Bombyx mori: one gene and its partners. The main gene of each other region encodes a partner of the protein of the gene in region 5 in a complex. Links are inferred from orthologs where the notes say so. Each region holds a gene or a part of one and is shown on either strand. Other genes may lie near its edges.

Evidence for each region.
Region 1: transcription initiation factor TFIID subunit 6 (region 5) and transcription initiation factor TFIID subunit 3 share a complex: the UniProt entries of both Homo sapiens proteins name them as parts of the TFIID basal transcription factor complex. The link is inferred for Bombyx mori from reciprocal best matches to the Homo sapiens genes TAF6 and TAF3.
Region 2: transcription initiation factor TFIID subunit 6 (region 5) and transcription initiation factor TFIID subunit 5 share a complex: the UniProt entries of both Homo sapiens proteins name them as parts of the TFIID basal transcription factor complex. The link is inferred for Bombyx mori from reciprocal best matches to the Homo sapiens genes TAF6 and TAF5.
Region 3: transcription initiation factor TFIID subunit 6 (region 5) and transcription initiation factor TFIID subunit 8 share a complex: the UniProt entries of both Homo sapiens proteins name them as parts of the TFIID basal transcription factor complex. The link is inferred for Bombyx mori from reciprocal best matches to the Homo sapiens genes TAF6 and TAF8.
Region 4: transcription initiation factor TFIID subunit 6 (region 5) and transcription initiation factor TFIID subunit 4 share a complex: the UniProt entries of both Homo sapiens proteins name them as parts of the TFIID basal transcription factor complex. The link is inferred for Bombyx mori from reciprocal best matches to the Homo sapiens genes TAF6 and TAF4.
Region 6: transcription initiation factor TFIID subunit 6 (region 5) and Taf13 share a complex: the UniProt entries of both Homo sapiens proteins name them as parts of the TFIID basal transcription factor complex. The link is inferred for Bombyx mori from reciprocal best matches to the Homo sapiens genes TAF6 and TAF13.

The regions. Positions count from the first base shown.
Region 1 is NC_085113.1:3,417,246-3,421,317, forward strand, and holds the start of transcription initiation factor TFIID subunit 3, read right to left. Parts: upstream 2,801-4,072; 5' UTR 2,515-2,800; intron 2,361-2,514; 5' UTR 2,341-2,360; coding exon 1-2,340. UniProt on the Homo sapiens protein: The TFIID basal transcription factor complex plays a major role in the initiation of RNA polymerase II (Pol II)-dependent transcription.
Region 2 is NC_085110.1:9,225,387-9,228,886, reverse strand, and holds part of transcription initiation factor TFIID subunit 5, read left to right. Parts: intron 1-26; coding exon 27-226; intron 227-762; coding exon 763-964; intron 965-1,066; coding exon 1,067-1,256; intron 1,257-2,222; coding exon 2,223-2,298; intron 2,299-2,371; coding exon 2,372-2,509; intron 2,510-3,500. UniProt on the Homo sapiens protein: The TFIID basal transcription factor complex plays a major role in the initiation of RNA polymerase II (Pol II)-dependent transcription.
Region 3 is NC_085124.1:7,747,477-7,751,490, forward strand, and holds the start of transcription initiation factor TFIID subunit 8, read left to right. Parts: upstream 1-1,214; 5' UTR 1,215-1,386; coding exon 1,387-1,534; intron 1,535-1,913; coding exon 1,914-2,012; intron 2,013-2,543; coding exon 2,544-2,731; intron 2,732-3,487; coding exon 3,488-3,638; intron 3,639-4,014. UniProt on the Homo sapiens protein: The TFIID basal transcription factor complex plays a major role in the initiation of RNA polymerase II (Pol II)-dependent transcription.
Region 4 is NC_085107.1:19,834,974-19,838,903, forward strand, and holds the start of transcription initiation factor TFIID subunit 4, read right to left. Parts: upstream 2,801-3,930; 5' UTR 2,778-2,800; coding exon 1,962-2,777; intron 801-1,961; coding exon 636-800; intron 1-635. UniProt on the Homo sapiens protein: The TFIID basal transcription factor complex plays a major role in the initiation of RNA polymerase II (Pol II)-dependent transcription.
Region 5 is NC_085121.1:11,007,064-11,010,563, forward strand, and holds part of transcription initiation factor TFIID subunit 6, read right to left. Parts: intron 3,111-3,500; coding exon 2,941-3,110; intron 2,866-2,940; coding exon 2,715-2,865; intron 1,547-2,714; coding exon 1,374-1,546; intron 1-1,373. UniProt on the Homo sapiens protein: The TFIID basal transcription factor complex plays a major role in the initiation of RNA polymerase II (Pol II)-dependent transcription.
Region 6 is NC_085115.1:8,093,394-8,097,348, reverse strand, and holds the start of Taf13 (TBP-associated factor 13), read right to left. Parts: upstream 2,801-3,955; 5' UTR 2,673-2,800; coding exon 2,631-2,672; intron 2,559-2,630; coding exon 2,383-2,558; intron 2,215-2,382; coding exon 2,057-2,214; coding exon of another isoform or gene 2,040-2,056; exon of another isoform or gene 1,906-2,039; coding exon 1,892-1,905; 3' UTR 1,845-1,891; exon of another isoform or gene 1-1,844. UniProt on the Homo sapiens protein: The TFIID basal transcription factor complex plays a major role in the initiation of RNA polymerase II (Pol II)-dependent transcription.

The DNA of each region.
Region 1 (4,072 bases), on a different chromosome or scaffold from region 5:
ATTAGCCTTGTGATCCTTATGCGACTTAGACTTGTGTTTCTGTAATATATTTGGAATGGTCTGAGATTTGTGCTTATCGTGGCGGTCCTTTTCACGATTCATTGAAGACTTATGAATACCTCTGTCCTCATCATTTTCTACTGCTATTACCTCCAAACTCGGTCGACGGAGCATTGGTGGTATTTTAACGGAAGAAGATCTCGATGATTGGGCAAAATTTCCCATAGGCATCAGAGGAGAATTCAAGCCTCCAGGTAAGAAACTAGGACCAGGAATGAGACCAGGACCACTGGTTCCCAAAGCAAATGGATTGTTTAATAAATTACAGGGTGGCATACCTCTTAGTGCTGGATTGTTTGCTAGACCAGTGAAGAATTCACTTCCTGGTATCAATCCAGGGTTCGGGATGAGACCAGGGCCGGGCATAAGACCTCTTCCAGGTGGCATTGTATGAAAAAATGGAAAACCAGCTGGCATTTGTGGCAATTTTGATTCATTTTTCTGTCTACTGATTTTATGTTGTTTCATTCCAGCCAATTTCATACTTTGCTTTTCAGCTTGTGCCATTTCATAGGCTAATTGTTGTTGTTGCTTCTTCAACAATTTAGCTTCTAATTTTGCTGCTTTATCTTTCTTGTCTTTGTGTTTTTTCTCTTTTTTAACTTTAGGACTAACACTCGGTAGATCTTTGGGAAAAGGGGTTTGTAAGGACTTGTTGATTGATATATTAGGTTTAGATTCCAGTAGTTGTCTTTGCTGTGGTGTAGGGTTTCTGTCCAAAGAATCCTCATCAATATTAATCACTTCATTACTTCTTAAATCCATCACTTTAGACAAATCTACAGCACTATCGTCATTATTGTTCACAATTTGGTCTATCACTTCAGATTTCATTCTTGCATTTTCATTTGACTTATGAACTGAATTTTGATGTGATGCATTTTGCAACCTTGAAATAGTAGCATCAAGATTTACTTTATCATTTACAACCTCTGGAGTAGTCTTATCTTCTTTTGATTTGTTCGTTATTCTCTTAAATATATTAATCTTTGATTTATCAGGTTGAGAGGCCAATTTCTCATCTTCATCTAAAACTTCTCTCTTTATTTCAGTGTGAGGAATGAGAGAATTACTCATAGACTGCTGTTTAGGTGTGGTGATGGAATTAGATACTAGAGGAGATAATGAGATTGGAATTTTTCTAGGGACCGGTATTGCATCTTCAACAGAAAGCCTTCTGGATATTGGTGACGGAGGATCCAATGGTTCCTGTTTTATGACAGGTTTTACTGGCTCTGGAATAGGCACCAGTGCAGGAGGAGGTGCCATCTTTGCTCTTGAAGGAGGAGGTGGAGGGGCAGCTTCAGGCGCTGGCATAGTTATATGATTATGGTGTCTGGGCTGCACATCCTTACTTTTTACAGGATAACCAGGAGGAAATTTATTTAATTTATTACTGTCCTTATTTTTACCACTTTCACTCTTATGTTTATCTTTTCTTTTACTCTTCATAATTTTACCATTAGGTAATTTATTTTTCTTAGATTTCTTATCAACTTTTTCTAAAATTGGAGGTTTAGTTACATTTGTATGAGAATTAACTTTGTGCTTTTCAAAGTGCTTTTCTGCTATAATTGTAGGAGGACGGGCTTCGGGAAGTTTACCTTCACGGGCTGGTGACAGAAAACCAGACATGGTCATCATCACACTACTTATTTCTCTCGTTCTCTCCTCTTCCTCTAAGCGTAACCGTGGCCTTTTACTATTAGGTAAAGAAACAGGATCAATTGGTCTCTTAAAAATTTCCTTTGATTTCTCAGGACTGTCTGTGACAGATATTTCTGGACTTGTACATATGGTATTATTGCTAGTGACATTATCAATACCATTTTGATGTATTTCAATAGTGCCTGCAACAGCCGGTGTGTCTCTCTCTTTCTCTGGATACATAGGAGGCAGATGCTCATGCACGTGCATGGGCCTTGTGACAACTTCATGACTTCCTGGTTTTAAGAAGTTTAAGTTCGATTCTTTCGGTTTTGGGAATTTAACAGAGTTTACTGGAGGTGGAACAGGAGGTACACAACGCACATATTCAGCAAGCTCCGGCAAATTCACATTAAGGTCACGGAATACTAATCCTAAGTCATGTAAATTTGGTTCAGTCCTATTAAATTGTTCAGCATGCCTACTGGCTTGGATGCCAAGGGTTTTGATATATTTCTCCAGTACATGTACCAAAATGTCAAGTGGCGTTGAGTTTATGCCGTTCCATCCTATAGTTTGGCATATTTGCGCAACATTCCTCCGTAGTATCTCGCGGGCGTACGCCTCTGACATTATGACACCAACAACGTTATCTGGAACAAATGTTTATATCGGTATTATAAACATAAATCAGCATAATTCAAATGGCGTCGAAGCGAAGAAATGCTGTACAAGCATTTTCGATCACAGAGAATCATATTACAAGCCGTCAAAGTGGTAAAACAAGGAAACTCGTGATTTTTATACCTGCAAGTGTCCAGTAGTACAGAGACGTGGTTCTGAACTGCTGAAATTCTCAAGTTTTGTACATACATGTATGCTTAACTATGATTATATAAAGTCAAGGGTAATTTATAAAAACACACAAATCGATGGCAATATAAATTAACGAAGTGTTTACGTAAAAACTTCTCAGCATTCTAAAAACACAGTACCCCGTGCGCCATGATTGCATTTTGGGTTGTCAATGTCGAGTGTTGCTATTTGAAAATAAACAAATGGCGGTCTTCTTATGGCAGCGTTCAATGATACTAGTGATAGACTAAAATTGATTACAGGGAGCATTTGCTTTGCGACTTTATTCAAAGATGTTTTATTTATAGTTTCTTTTTAATTCATTTCCTTTCAATTAGTTTATTTTTGTTTAAATCAAATAAATAATTAAAAAAAAATTAAGCTACCGTAATCCTCATAATCGGTTAAGCTTGGGTGATCTTTAACACAGATATTCCAGATTTCAAACTATTCAACATGGGCGTGCCGGATAGTCTCGTGCTCATCATACGGGACTTCTTGTCAAACCGCTCTTTTCGATATCGAGTCGAGGGAACCCGCTCCTCCCCACGACCTCTCACAGCTGGAGTCCCGCAAGGCTCTGTCCTCTCACCCCTCCTATTTAGCTTATTCGTCAACGATATTCCCCGGTCGCCGCCGACCCATTTAGCTTTATTCGCCGACGACACGACTGTTTACTATTCTAGTAGAAATAAGTCCCTAATCGCAAAGAAGCTTCAGAGCGCAGCCCTAGCCCTAGTACAGTGGTTCCGAAAATGGCGCATAGACATCAACCCAGCGAAAAGTACAGCGGTGCTATTTCAGAGGGGAAGCTCCACACGGATTTCCTCCCGGATTAGGAGGAGGAATCTCACACCCCCGATTACTCTCTTTAGACAACCCATACCCTGGGCCAGGAAGGTCAAGTACCTGGGCGTTACCCTGGATGCATCGATGACATTCCGCCCGCATATAAAATCAGTCCGTGACCGTGCCGCGTTTATTCTCGGTAGACTCTACCCCATGATCTGTAAGCGGAGTAAAATGTCCCTTCGGAACAAGGTGACACTTTACAAAACTTGCATAAGGCCCGTCATGACTTACGCGAGTGTGGTGTTCGCTCACGCGGCCCGCACACACATAGACACCCTCCAATCCCTACAATCCCGCTTTTGCAGGTTAGCTGTCGGGGCTCCGTGGTTCGTGAGGAACGTTGACCTACACGACGACCTGGGCCTCGAATCAATTCGGAAATACATGAAGTCAGCGTCGGAACGATACTTCGATAAGGCTATGCGTCATGATAATCGCCTTATCGTAGCCGCCGTTGACTACTCCCCGAATCCTGATCATGCAGGAGCCAGTCACCGTCGACGCCCTAGACACGTCCTTACGGATCCATCAGATCCAATAACCTTTGCATTAGATGCCTTCAGCTCTAATACTAGGGGCAGGCTTAGGGACCCCGGTAACCGTACTCGTCGAACTCGACAAAGAGGTCGACGTGCAACCTAACCCATGCATCAGCCCG
Region 2 (3,500 bases), on a different chromosome or scaffold from region 5:
CATCTAAATATATTCTTCATTTCCAGCACAAATAAATTTACAGTTCAGTTATCAAGAGATGCATCTTCACAACTGAAACGTTACTTACACGAACAGAAAAATTCCTCAGTAATAATAAATATAATAAATAATCATATACAAATCGAAGTCCATGATGGTCCAGGAAGAACTCAAGCACAAGTTCGAGCTACAGCTGGAGGGGTACTTGGAGAACCAATGAAAAGTGGTGAGAATGTTGAATAATTATCGAATTACTATAAACACCAATGAGAATGAGAGCCATTAAATATTAACCTGCATAGGTAGGTACCACCGTTCTACGTTTTTCTGCTGCAGTAATAAGTTCCTGTTTTAATGTTGAGACAACTGATAAACATTAGACTTGGTTTTTCTACCTCATGTCTTAAGATGTGTGATGACATTTAAGCTTTGATTTGTATGAGCTCTGATAACCACATATCACCATGAGAGCCACATATCATCATTGTTCACTCATCTATACATTCAATTGTTCTCCAGTTTTTCTTCCGGTATTTAAATAGTGACACTGATTCAATGAAATTGTAACTATACTGTAAATAACATTATGATGACATTGCATCACAGGGCCAAAAAATAAATGACTCTTAAGTAGGTAGGCCAAATAAATAGAATACATTTTATTATAAATAATTATATAAACGACAATACCTAATGAACACAAGAACAATGATAAGATTAAACTTTTTAAATTTAAATTAAACAAAAAATTAAATTATATAGAAAATCGCACCAAAGTGTATTATGGGCTCCTGAAAGAGCCCGATATTCAAGTTCTACCGGCTCCGGTAGAAGACGAAGAAGAAGTAGAAGAAACCCCTGACAAACCAAAAAAGAAAAAAGCGAAAAAAGATAATCTTTTTATGAAGAAACCAAAATCTGACCCAAATGCACCTCCTAATGACAGGATCCCTCTACCAGATCTGTAAGTCTTGTACTGATTGCAAATTTATGAATTTTTTAGAAAGAAATTGTGTGAAATAAAAAATATAGTATTATGTGCACATATTTTAATTTATTATTTTAGAAAAGAAATTGATAAAGTAGAGAAAGGCAAAGCACTCAGAGAAGCATCAAAACGTGTTCAGCTAGGACCAGACAGCTTGCCCTCTATTTGTTTCTATACATTACTGAACAGCGGACATACTGCAATTAGTTGTGATATTTGTGACGATTCCACCCTTTTGGCTGTGGGATTTAATAACTCAAACATAAAGGTATACATAGTATATAGCGAATGGTATTGATTTAATGTGTTATGATTTTCAGGTATATGCTTTTTACTAACTAACAAAAAATAGCATAGGAATGAAGCTGCTATTTTTAATTAGAGCTTTTGAAGGAACTGTATCGCCTAAGACTAGATTTTTTCTTTGAGAAGTTTTTGAAAAAAGAAAACCTGACTAGAGATGCTACCACGTTTTTCCCAATTTAGCACTCTTACTATTGTAGCGACAGCTATTACAGAATAGAAGATATTTGTCAAAAACACATCATCAAACACATAAGCACATCTAAGTTTCGAGCATTAGGACAAAGACACTCGCTCAGTGATCATTCCTAGGTCGTTATCCACAAAACTGTAAACCCAGTAAAATATGAAGTAACCGCTTGTAAATATAACGCTCTCATCATGTTTCCACTTGTGTACATATTTTTCTACATGACTGTAAAGATCAGAGATCACTTAATGCTAAAAAGCTTTTACGATAATATTTAAGTACAGTAAGTATACGAGGCTTAAATTAAGCATCAAAAGGTCGTTGCAAAATTCAAATCAGAGTTGTTAAATATTTTATTCCTAATTACCTCAAAGGCTCAGGGACATGCCTTAATACTAACGACATGTCGCAATGCTCGGGAAAAATCTGAGAAAGGGAGAGTTAGTTAATTCCAGGCAAAGCCGAGTGACACAATGAACTCTTAAATCTCGCTGTGGAAACCCTACGATAAGCATTGCCCTGTGGTAAGGGTAGTTATTAATGGTAGATCACGACTCAGAGCAGCCCCTAATAGATCGAAGTATCTTCGGGTACCCAATGATTGAAAACCATCCGAGAAACTAATCGATAATTCTAAAGAAACTATCTTCTCAAATTATAATTTGTCTCTAATTATTACTACCTAAACACTACTCATTCATCCTAAAACTCAAAATTATATTCTAATTTAAAATATTTTAGGTATGGACATTGACTCCCATTAAACTGCGAGGAATGAAATCTGCAGAAAAACTACAAGATATAGACAGGGAAGCAGGTATAAATTTGGTTAAAATATATAATTGTTTTCAAATGATTTAATCTAATATAAATAAATTGCTTACTTTTAGGTGATGTACTCGTGAGGATGATGGAGGAAAAGGACCGTGATACGTGCCGCAACCTTTTTGGGCACTCCGGCCCCGTTTATAAAGTTGCATTTGATCCTTTTAAAACAATGCTGCTTTCGTGCTCTGAGGATACAACTGGTACGTGGGTCCGGTTTAACAAACTTTGAAATCGGAATCAAAGTTCCCAGTCTGAACGGGGCAGTGAACCGGCTCTGTATTTTACAAATATATTATATTATCTCCTCGCGTCGTTTCCTCACTGCTGAGGGTCGTGACCATTATACTTCGACATGATTTTACTCCTTGTAATGTCCCGCCAGCGCCTCCGATTATTGGCCGCAGGAAGGGCGTCGTGGAATGGGATCTCGTGGATCTCGTGATATATGACTTATCATTAAAACCGGCTAGTAAGTTAATTAAATGAAATTTCGAATGTGATGCACTGTCCCTTTCCAACAATGCATGCGTTACCAAAAGAAACTTTGGTATTATTGCTTTTTTATTTCCCTTGTAGGCAGACCAGATACGGCTCCCCTGATGGTGAGTGGTTACCGTCGCCTATGGACGTCAGGAACGCCAGGAGCATAGTTAAGCCGCAGCCTACCGCTAAGTACCGTTAAGCTTGCACTCTGTCTGTCATGAATAAACTTTACAAATAATCAATTACATTACAAATAATCAAAGAATCAGTTCATGTCTCTATTTTTGAAGTATAGGTTTGCGATGACTATGATGAATTACAGTTTCCTAACAAACAAAAATTTGTTTATAGCTACATAATTACACCATTTGATGGAAAATTTATTGAAGACTGAAATAATATTGGTAATGGACCTACAGAAATTTCTTAGTCGGATTTCTAGTAACTGTAGTGGTTCGGTTAACACAAACTTGTTCGCGAAACGTCTACTTTTAACGATCTTACAGATCTTATTTTCGACTATTTTGAATTTATCTTCAGTCACTCAAAATCGCTGATGGAAGTCAATTATCTAATGCGGTACCCATTTTTCTACTGATGCCACGGTATAATTCGTATTCGGAAATAACATGATATTTAACTTTTCTAGAATTGTGAATAAAATTTTTCAAAGCAAACAATGCGAAAACACACAGAGAACACACTAAA
Region 3 (4,014 bases), on a different chromosome or scaffold from region 5:
GGTTTTGCTAGATACGCGCATCCGAGCTTTATGGTTTCGTTGGTGATCCTGTCGGGGCCTGGACTTTTCTCTATTTTTAGTGATTTAATCCCTTTAATCACTTCGGATTCGGAAGTAGAGACGAGAGCAGTCATAGACGAATACGAAGAAGACATAAAAGACGTTAAAGAAAAATTGATTTTGTTATTTAAATATATGTATTTTGTTTGTTTCTATTTTGTTTGTTGGAAACCCTAGTCGTACCACCTATTTACGAACATTATTAAAATACCTACTTTTTACTTGTATCTATTGTTATCAAAATTAAATTATAAGTTCTTGACTTGACCACGACTATGTGACCCCCTCCTGGCGCCAAAGCTGGATCCGCCGTTGAATGCACTGGACGTCTTATCCTTTAGGCCACGATGACTTTACAACTTCACACTTGTGCCATTTCATATTTCTTTTTTTGTGAATTTTGTGTTTATTTAATTAAAGGCTTTAAACCTCTTTGCCTGTCTTATGAACAATTAAAACAAAGAACTCTATCATAGATAATATACTTGTTGAATAGATAAGGATGATACAACTTGATAGAACAGACAAGGCGCTATGGGCTTAGATCCCCTTGCCTTTTCTAATAAAGAAAAATTGTACCAAAAAAAGTTTATGGATAGGTAGGGACTTTTTGGCGGGAACGAGAGGTGTCAAGTTGTGCGATTTGTTTTATTTTGTCTATTTAGTGTTTCTTCAATTTTAAATGTGTAATAACGGTGGTTTATTAACTGCTTATTATCTGTGAAAGTGCACAAATGTGGGAAAATGAAACAAAACCGTTGTACATAACTTCTTGGGATCCTCCAAAAAGCCCACTGAAAAAATCTCAGTAAACGACCACCATTTTACTGAGATTATATTTCATCCCATATGATCTCATCTCATTTCATTTAATTTCATCCCAGTTGATTAATGTCTCAAATTCTTCATTTCATTTCACTCCATATTATCATTTTTCATAAAAATATCCCATATCATATCATCTCACCTCATTTCAATTCATTTCATGTCAGAGATGGAATGGCATGACATCTTTCATATTAAATTAGTCAGCTTCATTTCATTTCATAATTCATAAAAAAAAGATTAGGCCGGTTGGTGTTATTTCTTTGCCTTTCCATTTGTAAAAATTAAACTACTAAGGAGTATGGGCTTAGATCCCCTTGCCTTACATAATAAGGAAAAATTGTACCAAAAAAAAAAGTTTATGGATATGTTTTGTTGACGAAGCGAAGTAAAGCAAATAATATTATAATTACATTAAGTGTATTATTTATGAGATAATTACAGTAAAAAAAGTAGTACATAGTTCGATAAGCCAATTAAAATTATCTAAAGAGCAGTAAAATGTCCGAGATGTCAGAAAAAACTGAAACTACATCTGATGCTCGTCGACGTATCTTAAACATTGCAGTTTCTACGGTATTATTGGAGACCGGTTTCGATGCTGCTGATAAAGTTTCGTTGGAAACTTTGACTGAAATGCTTCAATGTTGTACGTAAAACAATATCTTAAAATAACGTTTTACCAATAGACGTCTTTTTCATTACAGTTTAGTGCCAAGTGTATTTATATAATTGTATTTATATATTTCCACCAATAAAAGACCAGAAATTTTCTTTAAAGTAACAAATCAGGTACATATTTCACAGAAATAAAAATTTACTACTCATTACAAGAACTTCATACCAGGAAATTGGAATTTGCAAACAAAGTGAATTTACTTAATAGATATTGTGGTGCATTTATTAAAAAAATCAATATGCTTATGTTAACTAGCTCATTCACTGCTAGGAGCAAAGTTCAAAAACATAATTTATTTTTATGTAAAATATAATACCAATTACACTGTTATATTAATGGATTGTTTTAGTTTTTGCAGAAGTTGGGAATTCGGCGAAAGGATTTTGTGAGCTATCTGGACGGGTGGAGCCAGTGTTGGGTGATGTTGTAATGGCACTTATTAACATGGGTATAAATAAAACAAAACTTTATTTATAATTTTTATAATATAAACTTTATTTATAAAGTTCAGTATTTGCATTTTATATTTGAAAATGGGAAAGGAAACCTGTTATATTTGAGTCGTCTATTATCAAAGGCGGCAATCTGACTTTTGGACAATGATTGGTAAATCAGAAAAACGAATTATTGACTTTGTATTCCATCGGCAGTCACAAAACTCTTCGGAACGACATCTTAGATAAATAACAGGTTAACTATTAACCTTTATTTAATGCAGGTTTTGAACCGTATTCTTTGAAGGAGACGATTATATTCAAATCAATCTGTATTGACATATCAATAAAAAAAAATTGTCCAAATGCACAGATTGCCACCTTTGATAATAGACGACTCATTTGTAAATAAAAAAGTGATGAAGTTTCCAAATTTTTTCTCTGAATAGTAATATTCATAAATGTTAGTTTTCATGGTTATGAATAGATTAATAAAAAATGAGAAACTTTACTGAGTGCTTGTTAATCATCAATTTTTTTTTTAGGTATAAGCTTACAGGGTATTGAACAATATGCTGCTCGTCCAAATCGGCATGTAATTCAACCTCCTCAGCAAGCTCCTGCACCTCGCACCCCAGCTATGTTGTCAGCTGGCTCTAAAGCTAAACCAGCACCACATATACCTTTTCATTTGCCTCCATTACCAGATCCACATGCATACATCAGAACACCTGTGAGTATAAACCTTTAACCACAAATGTTATACTAAATAATAAGTAGGTAGTTGAATGATTTTTTGTTTAGTTTTAATCAAAATACAAAGCGAAGGATATAAAACAAAATGATTAAATAAATCATTGGGGACTTTTGAGGTGATGCTTAGTATTTTGCAGCAAAATAGAAATTAAAAGTTTTTTATGTTTTTTTTATTGCTTAGGTTTGTGGACGACATTTTCGCCCATCTGGTGTTAAGTGGTTACCGGAGCCCATAGACATCTACAACGTAAATGCTGTCACCCACCTTGAGATATGAGTTCCAAGGTCTCAGTATAGTTACAACGGGTACCCCACTCTTCCAACCAAAATACATTACTGCTTCACGCCAGAAGTAGGCAGGATGGTGGTACCTACCTGTGCGGACTCACAAGAGGTCCTACCACCATAATTACGCGAATTATAATTTTACGGGTTTCATTTTTATTACACGATGTTATTCTTTCACAGTGGAAGTCAATTGAGAACATTTGTTTAGTATGTATTTCATTAGAAAAATTTGTACTTGCCAGCGTGCTTTGAACACCAGTGCATTACTGGATACTAATGCACCGGACTTCTTATCCTTTAGGCCACGATGACTTCATTGTGATCAGTTTTGATGTTTATCATTTTTTATGAAGCAAAAAACCTTCTGCCAATATGTATATTCTTGAATAAATAAAGTTTGTGACTTCTAAATCGAACTAATTCGTTGTTTTTTTTTTAATTACAGACTCACAAGCAACCAGTAACTGAATATGAAGCCATTCGAGAGAAGGCAGCAACCCAAAAAAGAGACATTGAACGTGCTTTGACTAAATTCTTAGCAAAGACAAGTGAAACCCATAATTTATTTAATACAGAAGACAATCAGGTTTTTCCATGTATGAATAAACTCCTTTCATTTTGTATTAGGAATATTTCTCTTTATAGAGATATTAATAGACTGTTAACATCTCATGACCATGTCACTCATGTGATAAAAAGAAATGCATGTGTAATATATGTTCATAAAACTTCTTCCAGGATAAAAGAATAACATTTATAAAAAAATGCAACACATAGGCAGCTACTACCATGCATCCTTTTTCTGACAAGAAGGGGTGATGTGTTTTGGTTTGAACGATAGAACAGTTATTAAAAATATATTATCGAGATTTCAACCTTATGTCTCAAAGAGTGGGTGGCATTCACATTGTGATCTTTAGAGATTTTGGTAACCACTTAACACTAGGGGGCCTTGTACTTTATATAGTAGAA
Region 4 (3,930 bases), on a different chromosome or scaffold from region 5:
AAAACGCGTGTTATGGGATCACACAAGTGCGTCATATGAAAATACTCCTACAACGTGTTTCCTATAACATGGAACCAATTGACTGTGTTATAGGATGGATTACTGTATAATAATTTATAATAGATATTTTTGATATTTTTAAACAATGGCTTGTCTGTTATACAGTTAAGATTATATTAATCAAATAACTTATAATTTCTAAAATTTATAAAAAATTTATTAAAGTATAACACTAAATTATAAATATATCTATAAACACATATCTAATTATATTGCATATATTATTGTATTTACTAATAAATATTTAAATACTTGAAGCAGCTTAATAACTATGCATAATAAGCATGCTCTACAGCTAGCACGGACATTTGGCTTATACTTAGATGTACTGTTGGGGTACCAGCGCATATATTTATGCCTTACATTAAACTAATGAATCCAGGTAATTAGTATTTATAAGTAATGATACTCCAATTAGAATCTTCTTACCTTGTTAATAAGAACATGCACCTTCACCACATTTGTACATGCATGAACAACATGAAATTGGACAAACATGAGATTCTCAATGTGGCGCAAGAGAGAGGGGGGGTTGTCCAATCTCAGTCAGGGTGTGAGTGGTTGTGCCTACTTACTGCTGGCACAGTGGACAGCCTGATGGTTTGAGGCTGGGGCGTCGTGAGAGAGCTGGCCGCTGGAGCGGGACCCACTCTCAGCAACTGGTATTGACCATTCTCTGTCTTTAACAACAAATGACCCTGCTGGCCCGGTTGTAGACTTGGTAGTGTTTGCAGCGTTATCTAAAAATTGAACGCTTCAATTCAATTTCACCTACTTCTTCATTAAATGAAGAGTAACAAGTGAAAGAATATATATTTTACTAAATATAAAATTGGAATGCGAATTCCTAAAGCAGGTCATTTGTTAAAATTTATAACACACTTCAGTGACATGACAACATTGACGGGACAGGTGACTGTGCAAAACTAACATGTATATGATATGATTATGACAAGGTTAGGATGGGTTAAGCTATTATTGATTACAATATTATACAAAAGCCCGAGTAGCACAATGCAATTATATATGACATATATGACATCTGAAATGAAGCTTTCTCAGATTCCATTAAACTGGTAAAGATTGCTTGATTTCATAAATTTTACTAATATTTTTATTTGTAGCAGTTTTATGGATTCCCAGAAAATTATATAATAAAGTTTAATTTATAAATCCATGTTGTATTAGGTTTATATTTTGAGGCATTATTTGATTGTAGGGTAGCAGAATTCAAAGTTAAATTTCAGCTTGTTTATGATATGCAAACCACTGAAAATTTGTTGAATCACCAGTGGGCCCATTTCCCATTGATAAAAGTTTAACAAGCAGTATTCTGTGTTTATGTGACAATTTGTGCAAATATGCTAAGAGTTTTAGATGACAGTGATGTTGCCCGAAGAAATCCATCCTCTTCATGTTTCAGTGAAATTTATTTACAGATAAGTGGGTATCTAAGAATTGTGTTAATATCTTTTGTACATAACCATAATGAACCATGTTATAACATTTATTTTTACAGCATAACATTATAATGCAGAAAGATCCTGTAGATTTTTTCTTTTTTGTTTTAGTTCCTCTATAATGTCTATTGTTAATTTGTTTTAGGACTGATAAAAAGACAATAAAAACAATAGAAGATTCTGATTTGATTAAATTAGAAATTAATAACATTAACTTATTTTAAGTTTAATGATTTTTATCTTTTACAAACATTTCAGAAAAGTTGCAATATACTATGTTTTGAATTTCCTAAATATTGTTTTATTTATAAAAGTTTTTTTTTTTTTGGTGGTATATTTACTTTACAACTTGTATCAGTCCTAAAAGTTTTAAATAAGTTTTAGTGACAAAACGCTTGGATAAATAATTAATGTATTAATATTTTAACATTTGAGACTTACGCCTGGTCCTGCAGCTCTGGTGCCAACAACTTGTGGGGTGCCTATCACTACTCTTGGTGATACTGTTGCTACTGACTTTTGTGCCGCAACTGCTGGAGCACCAGCTCTCATATTCAGAATCTGAACATTAGGGAGTATTGTGGGCTGACTCGAACCCAAGTTCTGAGTTGTTACAACTACATTTTGTCCAGGTTTGTTCAAAGTCATTACATTTGGTATTGAACCGGACATGCTTGAATTGGCTGTCATCGGTACTGTGACCATTCCAGACTGTATTCCCACTTGGCCCGAAGACGTCCCCTGTTTTAAAACTAAAGGAGGTTGCATCGCGTCTACTGACGTTATCAAATGATTTTGGGACGAGGACAACCCAACGAAACCGTTCGGAAGTGACTGAGCGGGAAATGTCACCGAATTTGGGTTAGAAAATGCTTGAGCCTGAGAATATATAACTTGTATGTTATCGTTACAATTGGTCACAGTACCACCCGGTGTCAAAGAGGAATAAGTACCAGGAACACTTGATTGGACATTATTACAGGACGTGCTATTTGTCAACGAGGGTCTGTGTATACTGTTCGCGGCAATACCGCAGCTAACTCCGCCTGTTGTATATTTATGACCACTTATAATAGAGCCCGCGTTCGAACTTAGCCCGGGAAACTGAGATGATAAAACGTTCACTAAAATATTTTGTGACGGCGCCGACGATACGTTAGTAACTAATTGGTTTTCGAGAGTGCCCACGATCGCGTTCACGGCTTTCTCGTCGACGTCTGTGGACAAAGCTTCCTCCAAAAACTCCGTTGACGCCATTTTCTACAAATCAGCGGATATGACACTGGACGGTTACAAACCGGTATTTACCGACAAAATGTGGTATCACTGCTTTTGGAAACAACTTTTATTTTTTACTTTTTAGATTTTTGTCTGTTTGATAAAAAGTACTTTTTTTAAGACAGCCCAAATAAAATCACTACCTTTTCAATAAAAAGAATAATTTTGTTATTTGACTGAAAATTGTACAAATGTTGGTAATACATGCTAAAAGTTGTCATACCTCAGATGACTATATACAATATTTACAGTTAAATACACAGGGACATAAAATAAGGTACATAAATAAATAAATAAACACCAACTTTGTGATCTGTTAAAAGTGTCCGCCAAAAAGTAGAACAGCGTCTTTGTACAAAGGTGAGCCAATTTACAACTGCAAAGGTTTCAGGCTAAAACTTATTCTTAATTCGCTATTCATAACTATATTTTAATTTTAAGTCTCTTTTGTTGTGATTGTGTTAGACACTTTATAAATTACGTTCTTATCAAATCCTAATGTTATAATACCACATTTTACTCCATCTAAAGTGATCGACATTCCTTAATGAATTGAATTATAATGAGGTCTAAGTCGCAAGTCGCAAAATTTTAGTTATGATATTAATTTATATTTTTGGAAAAATATTAACAAGCTAAAAAGCTACGTTAATATTTTTTAAATTATCTATACCAATATTATAAAGAAGAAAGATTTGTTTGTTTGTTTGTATTGAATAGGCTCCGAAACCACTGAACCGATTTGAAAAATTCTTTCACTGTTTCGAAGCTACATTATTCCCGAGTGACATAGGTTATATTATTTTTTGAAAAATTTAGGGATCTTACTAAAACTAAAACTCCAATAATGTAACCCAAGGTGTAAAAAAATTACCTTCAATATTCTTTCCATCGCGTGCCCTGCGAAAACTATTGATAATAGAATAAAATAATGTACAACTTTGTAGAACACATTATTTACAAAAAGTGTCGCAACAGCATATGTACTCTTATAGTTATTCCGCAATAAGTGTTCTTTTATTTAAAAAAAAATAAAACAACGTCAAATATCATTGAATTTTTTATTAAAGACCCGAGCGGAGACGGTGCGGGCCGCTAGTACTGTATAAATTGAATTAAATTCACGAAAATT
Region 5 (3,500 bases):
ATATAATGTATGTCTTTGTATGTAATTTATCTATGTAAATCTGATATAAAAAAATGTTCATAGATATTTAATCATTTCACTTGGCTATTTTTGGACTAAAAATTAACGTAATTTTAAATGTGGCTTTCATGAAAAAAAAACATTACATAGGGTAGCATTCCAATCGCAATCTATGTTATTTTTGGAATAAGAGGGTATGTATGCCGGGATTCTGCTGGCCCGATTCTTATGATTATTTTTGCATCGCAAAAGGGGGTCCCTGGACAATTTCCAATTACAATTGGACCCGTTAAGGCTTTATTATTATTATCAGGACAAGACAATTGCCGGGCCCACCCATGATAATATATATTCAATTCTTATAATGACATTATATGGAATCATCACAAGTAAAATCAAAACCGAAAGGTTGCGATAGTAATTCTTCATCAAGAACAGTGTATGATACATTTCTAGTTCATTTTTCGAGGTCCACAATGTGATTGAGTTACAAAATAAACACCATTCAGCATACTGACTAAAGGTAAATGTAGTGGAAAGTGGTTAGCTGATGGTCTGATAACATACCTGTATCAACTGGTACCTATGCTCAGACGGATAGCAGAAACCATGGCCGTTTTCTAATTACAGCAAAAGAGCGCATTATGCGGCATAATGCTCAACTATGCTTCAGCATAATTCGGCAATTAACCATTACTTAATGGTAGTTTTCCAATTACAGAGCATAATGCGACTCAGTGACGCACAATGCCGAATTATGCTGAAGCTTAGTTGAGCATTATGCCGCATAATGCGCTCTTGTGCTGTAATTGGAAAACGGCCCATGTAGCGAAAAAATAATGCTACGGTAATCTATATAAAAATATTGCCAATTTATAGAAGAAAAAAAATTTCTTCTGTGTTTGATCATTGATATTCTTTTTGTTCATTAGCTATTGAAGATCTTTAGACATTTTTTTTGACATTGTTTATTTTCTAAACGTCAATAAGAAATAAAGAAAATGTTATACAGTACCCGGCGATAAATATTGCACATCGACCGTGGGAAAGAGATGGTTAATTTTTGCTTTGTAGAGCGTTATATGTGTCGCACATTACCTAATTGACATTTAATCTCCATAGATACGGGATCGTTGGTGTTTCATCGCACACAGATAACGCTCTACAATAATAACAAAATTAGACGACAGTCTCTTTCTAAATATCGATGTGCAATATTTATTGCCTGGTACTGTACCTAGGTATATAAAATTAATCTAAATTTTTAGGTGTCAATAAATATGCGCGAATATCGACAATCACTGACCGGACATGAGTAATAAAAAGTTCAATAGGAAATCAACAGGACGATTCGTGTATAAGACGTGACTGACTTGTAGTCTTCGGGTTGGTCGGGCGGTTGCCGCAGTTGTCGGACGACAGGGGCCAGGACTTTCAGCAGCTGGTGCTTGAGGTTGCCGGCCGCCAGTCGGTCCGCGCCACCGATACCGCTCAGCGCGCCCTCCACGCGCTCTCCCAACCAACGCACGCGCGGCAGAATGAACACCTGTAAAAAAGGCGTCATCTTACCAGATCTAACATGAATCGCCAGATTATCACGCCTACGCAGGGTCGGATTGAAACATAATACTGCTCCTCGGTACCGGAAAAAAATCTGCTGGTAGGACCTCTTGTGAGTCCGCGCGGGTAGGTACCACCGCCCTGTCTATTCTGCCGTGAAGCAGTCATGCGTTTCGGTTTGAAGGGTGGGGCAGCCGTTGTAACTATACTGAGATCTTAGAACTTATATCTCAAGGTGGGGGGCGCATGTACGTTGTAGATGTTTATGGGCTCCAGTAACCACTTAACACCAGGTGGGCTGTGAACTCGTCCACCCATCTAAACAATAAAAAAAAACCGTGCCAATACTGTAATTTTACCTAAATTTATAATTTATATATTTTATTTTTCAAAATTAGGATGACTAATTTATTGCGGAAACTTTATCATATGTCATATATTTCAAAAACATAAATAAATATATATATTTTTTTCTAACAATTACAAATTTTGACTAAGGGTGACTCATAATTATATTTCATCAAAAAAAATAACTAATTATATTTCTTTAATTATAGAAAATAGAAAAATCGATTATTATTTTAAATCTCCAAGGAAATAAATTGATTAAACCATTTTGATTATTAATTTTTACCAAAAGTGCCAAAATTATAATTGACAAATAATGGATGAATTGAATTTCTTGAATTATCAATTAAAAAGGAAATTATTAATTATTAGAATTAATTAATTATATTGAGCAATCTTGATAAAACTAAAAAAAAAAAACTAAAAATTTTGCCGCCCTAAAAAATATGCCGGCCTGGGCACTTGCCCCGACTGCCCCTAGTGTAAATCCAACACTGCGCCTACGTGTCTGGGCCGCCGGTACACAGCCATCAAATTCAACTAAAAACCCGGCGTGCATAAGTTAATTCACGCACGACAATGTTTAACGCGCCTATGTAGAGGGCGCTGCGTGACGGCGTCAGTGTGCTTAGTGCGAGTTTTTTAACGTTCTCGATGGCGTAAAAGTTAGCTTATATTCGTACAGAATGGGATCTTTTGCATACGTTTGCCACTAGGGGCGCTGTTCCAACTGCATACAAAATTGGGCTAACTTTCACGCTATCGAAAACGTTAAAAAACTCGCACTAAGCACACAGATTACTCACTTTAACGACTTCGGGGCCCAGCTCTGCCAATCCTTGCACGGCTCCATACAGCGACGCGAGAGGAGTCTTCTCCGATTCCTTCATGCTCGCCATAGAAGGACCCGTTTCGTTGTTTGTTTGTGAAGGGCACTGGAGGGCTTTCGCGAACAACCTGAGCGCAAAGAATTTTCGTATAGTAACTACCAGATACATTGTGTGACTTTAAAATTTATTCAAATTAAAATACCTGGTGACTCTCGTTTGTAGATTATTGGTTGAAGTATTGAATGTTTTGCATATCTGAGCCATGAGTCGCGCGGCGAAATCTCGCAGGGCCCAGTGGTTATCCATCTCGGGACGAAGGCACAGCTGTCGTGATACTATGCATGTCGACACGGACGGAATCAACTCGTGTAACTGCCCAAACAATACAATTTACTTATTAAATCTGCAATTACCTATAGACATGTATGAGTATCAAATATTGAAGCGTGGCCGTAGAGAGAATGGCCTATGGACTCTTATGCCATGGTCTAGATTGGACAGATAACATTTTGTCTAGAAAATACGCATCTAAGACGTGTTTACGAATGAATCCTACAGTGCAGGAATAATATTGGTCTCCTCTATGATCATAAAATCTAAACCTCCAATTTTATGATGTGCAACTGCGAAACGAGTGTCAAGACGTATTAGTGGGCATGCACCGCCTTATTTTTATTAAGCAGTATCGTTTTATTCGTCGTTTAAGCGACATTTCGTTTAATACGCGACACATTTAATTTTATCTTTGTAATTCGGTGTATT
Region 6 (3,955 bases), on a different chromosome or scaffold from region 5:
AATTTGCAATTATTTAACATACAATTTTGAACACAACACATATATTTCCCATTAGCAACACAAATACTATTATGCTACAATTGCTAATCCTGTTGTTTTCTCTTAAAAAACATTCTACAGATAGTAGTGCTTTAATTTCTTTATCAAGCCAAACAGTTTTATGTGATATATCTAGGGTTAGAGTACCTATAAAGTAGTACAAGATGTAAATATTAGACATTCATTTCATTAGTACACAAATTCTCATATCCTAACATGCTAACTGTTCAAGCTGCTATCTCTTGCCAAAACACAACTTTCAAATACCAAAGTGCAAAAGTAACACATAAATTAACAATAAACAATAAAAATGCTTATGCAATATGAATTTCTAAACGTGAAAACATACGTGAAATTAATTATTATTGTTAAACAGATTATTTGCAATTTTTTTTTTGATAGCGGCATTGCATGGATGTCTTCCAGCTTCACCAAGATAAGGCAGGCCAGGTTGGACTTAGGCAGGAGGGGCAAGATTTGGAGATCAGTCAGGAGTAGGTTGATCCCCAGGAGCTTACCTACCAAATTGCAGCAATAAGTTATGGTCTGATTTTGTGCCAATGAAGCATCATTTGCAGGAAGAATTGCTTTCATTCAAAGAAAACAGCAGCTCAAGTGCATTGAGAAAATGTGAATGAAGCAACATGGCATTGATTGGTTCCGTCGCTCCACAGATGCGAAAGATGAAAACCTATTGTTCGATGAGGATTCATATCAAACATAAGATCAGCTTGTTTCGATATTAAGGGTTGCAAGCCAAGATTGGGCATATCCACTAGTGGGTAACACTTGATTCCCTTTAGAAGTGAAGCCAAATGATGTTGAACATTGTCTTTTCATCTGTGAACGACTACTCCAACAGTACAAAAGAAAGGGTTTTGCAATGATGAAACACACGGGGAGGAAAAGGACTAATGATAGACTCCCCGTTAATGTTTCTACATCATTGCCACTGCCAAATATTCAGCTTACGAAGGTTATACTGTGTATTTGGTGCAATCAGGTTGGCATTATATATTAAGAGCTGTGGAGCTGAACAAAACCTCCACTGAAGAATGATATAGAATATAATTAATGCAGTGAAGCTTAATGCAATGCTTACACTGCATGAAAAATGCCCACAAAATGAGCAGAGACACAAGAAAGTGATGCTCCTGCATGATAATATTAAGCTCCACAGTCCCAAATATTTTGCTGTTCGATTATTCTTTGTTCCATTTGATGGTATCTACTTGGCTGGTTGTTCCATTCATATACAGATATCAAACAATAGCTTAGTTTCATTCATAGATAATCTCAAAAATGACACTTCTATTTACCAAGGAGGTATTTGAACTTTGCCACAAAGATGAGAAAAATTGTGGCTAGTAATAGAAAATACTTTCATGATTCATTTGTGAGATTTTTTTTTAATAAAAATGCATATTCATTAAGAAAAATAGAATTTAGTTTTCACAATCAGATTCACATGCTACAATTTGGGCAAATACTACTTAACAGAACATTCTATAATATCGTTTGCACAAGGTCTTCTAACTCTATTACTATAATGATAACCTTATTGTTTATAATACACTGGTGATCACAATAAAATTTAAAAAAGTAGGTACTAAATATTATATATTTGATAGTAAATAAATATTATATTATATAGTATAATTTACCATACATTTAAAGTAATCAAAACAAATTACAGATACATCTACATTCAGGATCTTATTAAATTTACAACCATTCATGACATTAGTGTTGTTGTGAATGTGCAAACACAAAAGCAGTGTTATAATTAAATATATGTTACTTGCATCAATCAGTCTAGAAGCATGGCGTCGGTTGTATGGCCACAGTATGGTTACTGTTGGTCCTCTATAATTTCAAAACATTTCAATACAAACATTAATAATCACACTTTAGATGAAACATCTCAAACTGAAACACTACAATGATAGTAATATAGAATTGGATTTTTTAATGGGAATAAATTCACTCAAATTTTACAATCAAATGTACAACTCACCAACATATTTTACTTCATCAAAAGCTTTTCTAGCTTTCTTAAGTTCCTCATTCATTGTAAGAAGGTCTTTAACACGTGCATACTTTCGTGCATCTTTACGAACTAAGAAAATTATGTCTTCTACTTGGACTCTTCCTGTTCTACCAACTTCCATTGCCCTGTTATATATATTTTTAGTATTGTACTATTTAAATCTAGGATTGCATGAGTTCATGAGTCCACCTGGTGTGATGTGGTATACGGAGTGAAACACAAACATGAATATAAAGAAGAATAAAAATATTGAAGTTTTCTCAAGACACAAAAAAGTTTTTTTTTTATCTTACCTATGTGTTGTTTCTGTTATAAATTCAATAACTAAGTCTTCTAAAAAATCGACACTTTCAGTATACGGGTTTTGATCATCACCAAATCCATACATCATACATCTCAATTCCTTACTAAAAAGTCTTTTACGACCAGATGTAGTTCCACCTAACTGTTGCTCTTCTTCTTCATCAAACTACAAAGCAATACTTTTATGTACACAAAAGAACAAAAAAATAAACAAGCAACGGAAAATCAATAGTTTTACCTGGTCAAAGTTATCTTGCGAATCAGGAGTGGGAGTGGCCATGATATTGATTTACTAAAGTTTTTTTGTAAAACTTAAAACGTTTATTTGTAGAAATTTTACATAAATAAATAGTCAGTAGTGGTAGTAGTTTTGTTGTGGATTTTAAAACAAACGAGTTAAAGTAAAACAATGAACATCTTTTATTTTATGGAGAATGACATTGACATAGAGTTTTTTTAAGGGATTTTATGACCTGGTAACTGAGACCTTTAAGTCATGAAACAAAATGAAAAAAATGCTCTAGCAAAATATGCTAATATATATGATTTGCTAGTGGAGCCATGTGGCATTTTCAATAGCCAAGAGCGCCCATATCTTGCTGCATCTCCTGATGGTGTGTTGGGCGAAGAAGCTATAATTGAAGTGAAATGTCCATACGCTAGCAGAAAACATGAAATAAATATATCAACGGTGCCTTACTTAGAACGATGTAACGGGATATTGTCTCTAAAAAATCCTGCCCATACTATTATCAAATCCAAGGACAGTTATACTGCTCAGGCAAAACATACTGCAACTTGGTCATTTACACCTACAAGGACATCAAAGTGATTTATGTTGAAAAAGACAATAATTTTATAAATAATATGTTAAATAAATTAGATATCTTTTATGAAAATATTTTCAAAGAAGCATTGTATAAAAAATATCTGTATTATAACTATACACACTTGTCGAAATAAAAAATCAGGAATATTTTTAATTATTTTTATTGACAATTCCTTCTCTAAAGTTACATAAGTAACTTCTCTACTTTTTGTTTCTTCAGAAACTGGTTTCATATTCCATGAAAATATAGATGGTACAGCACCTTTCTTCAGATATTTATGTTAATGTTTGACACCTGCAACACAAAGAATAACATTTAAATATACTATCACAAGGAAAGCTGACCATAGTTTCAAAATATTTGTTATTGCAATGGATGCAGCGATTTAGATAGAACTTTCAATAGTAACAGCTGATAATGAACAACAGCTCATGAGGAATGTGTTTCCTCCAGTCTGATTTTGTGTTTGTTATAAGGTTCCTTACAGCATGAATCTACTTATTATTATTGGATTTTTTTAATAAGAGAACAATGATGTGTGCTACACCTAGTCATGCATTATATATATTTGACAGAAAGAAGCATACCTGTGTATTTACTAATGTTTTCATAGTCAGATTCCACAAAGTGTTTACGACATAACCTCGAACTTTCTGTATGAATACTTTTTTCGCGTCAAATGGCCTTTAACCACAGTCTTCCAATTTTCTTGTCCTTCGGGAATTGATGTACT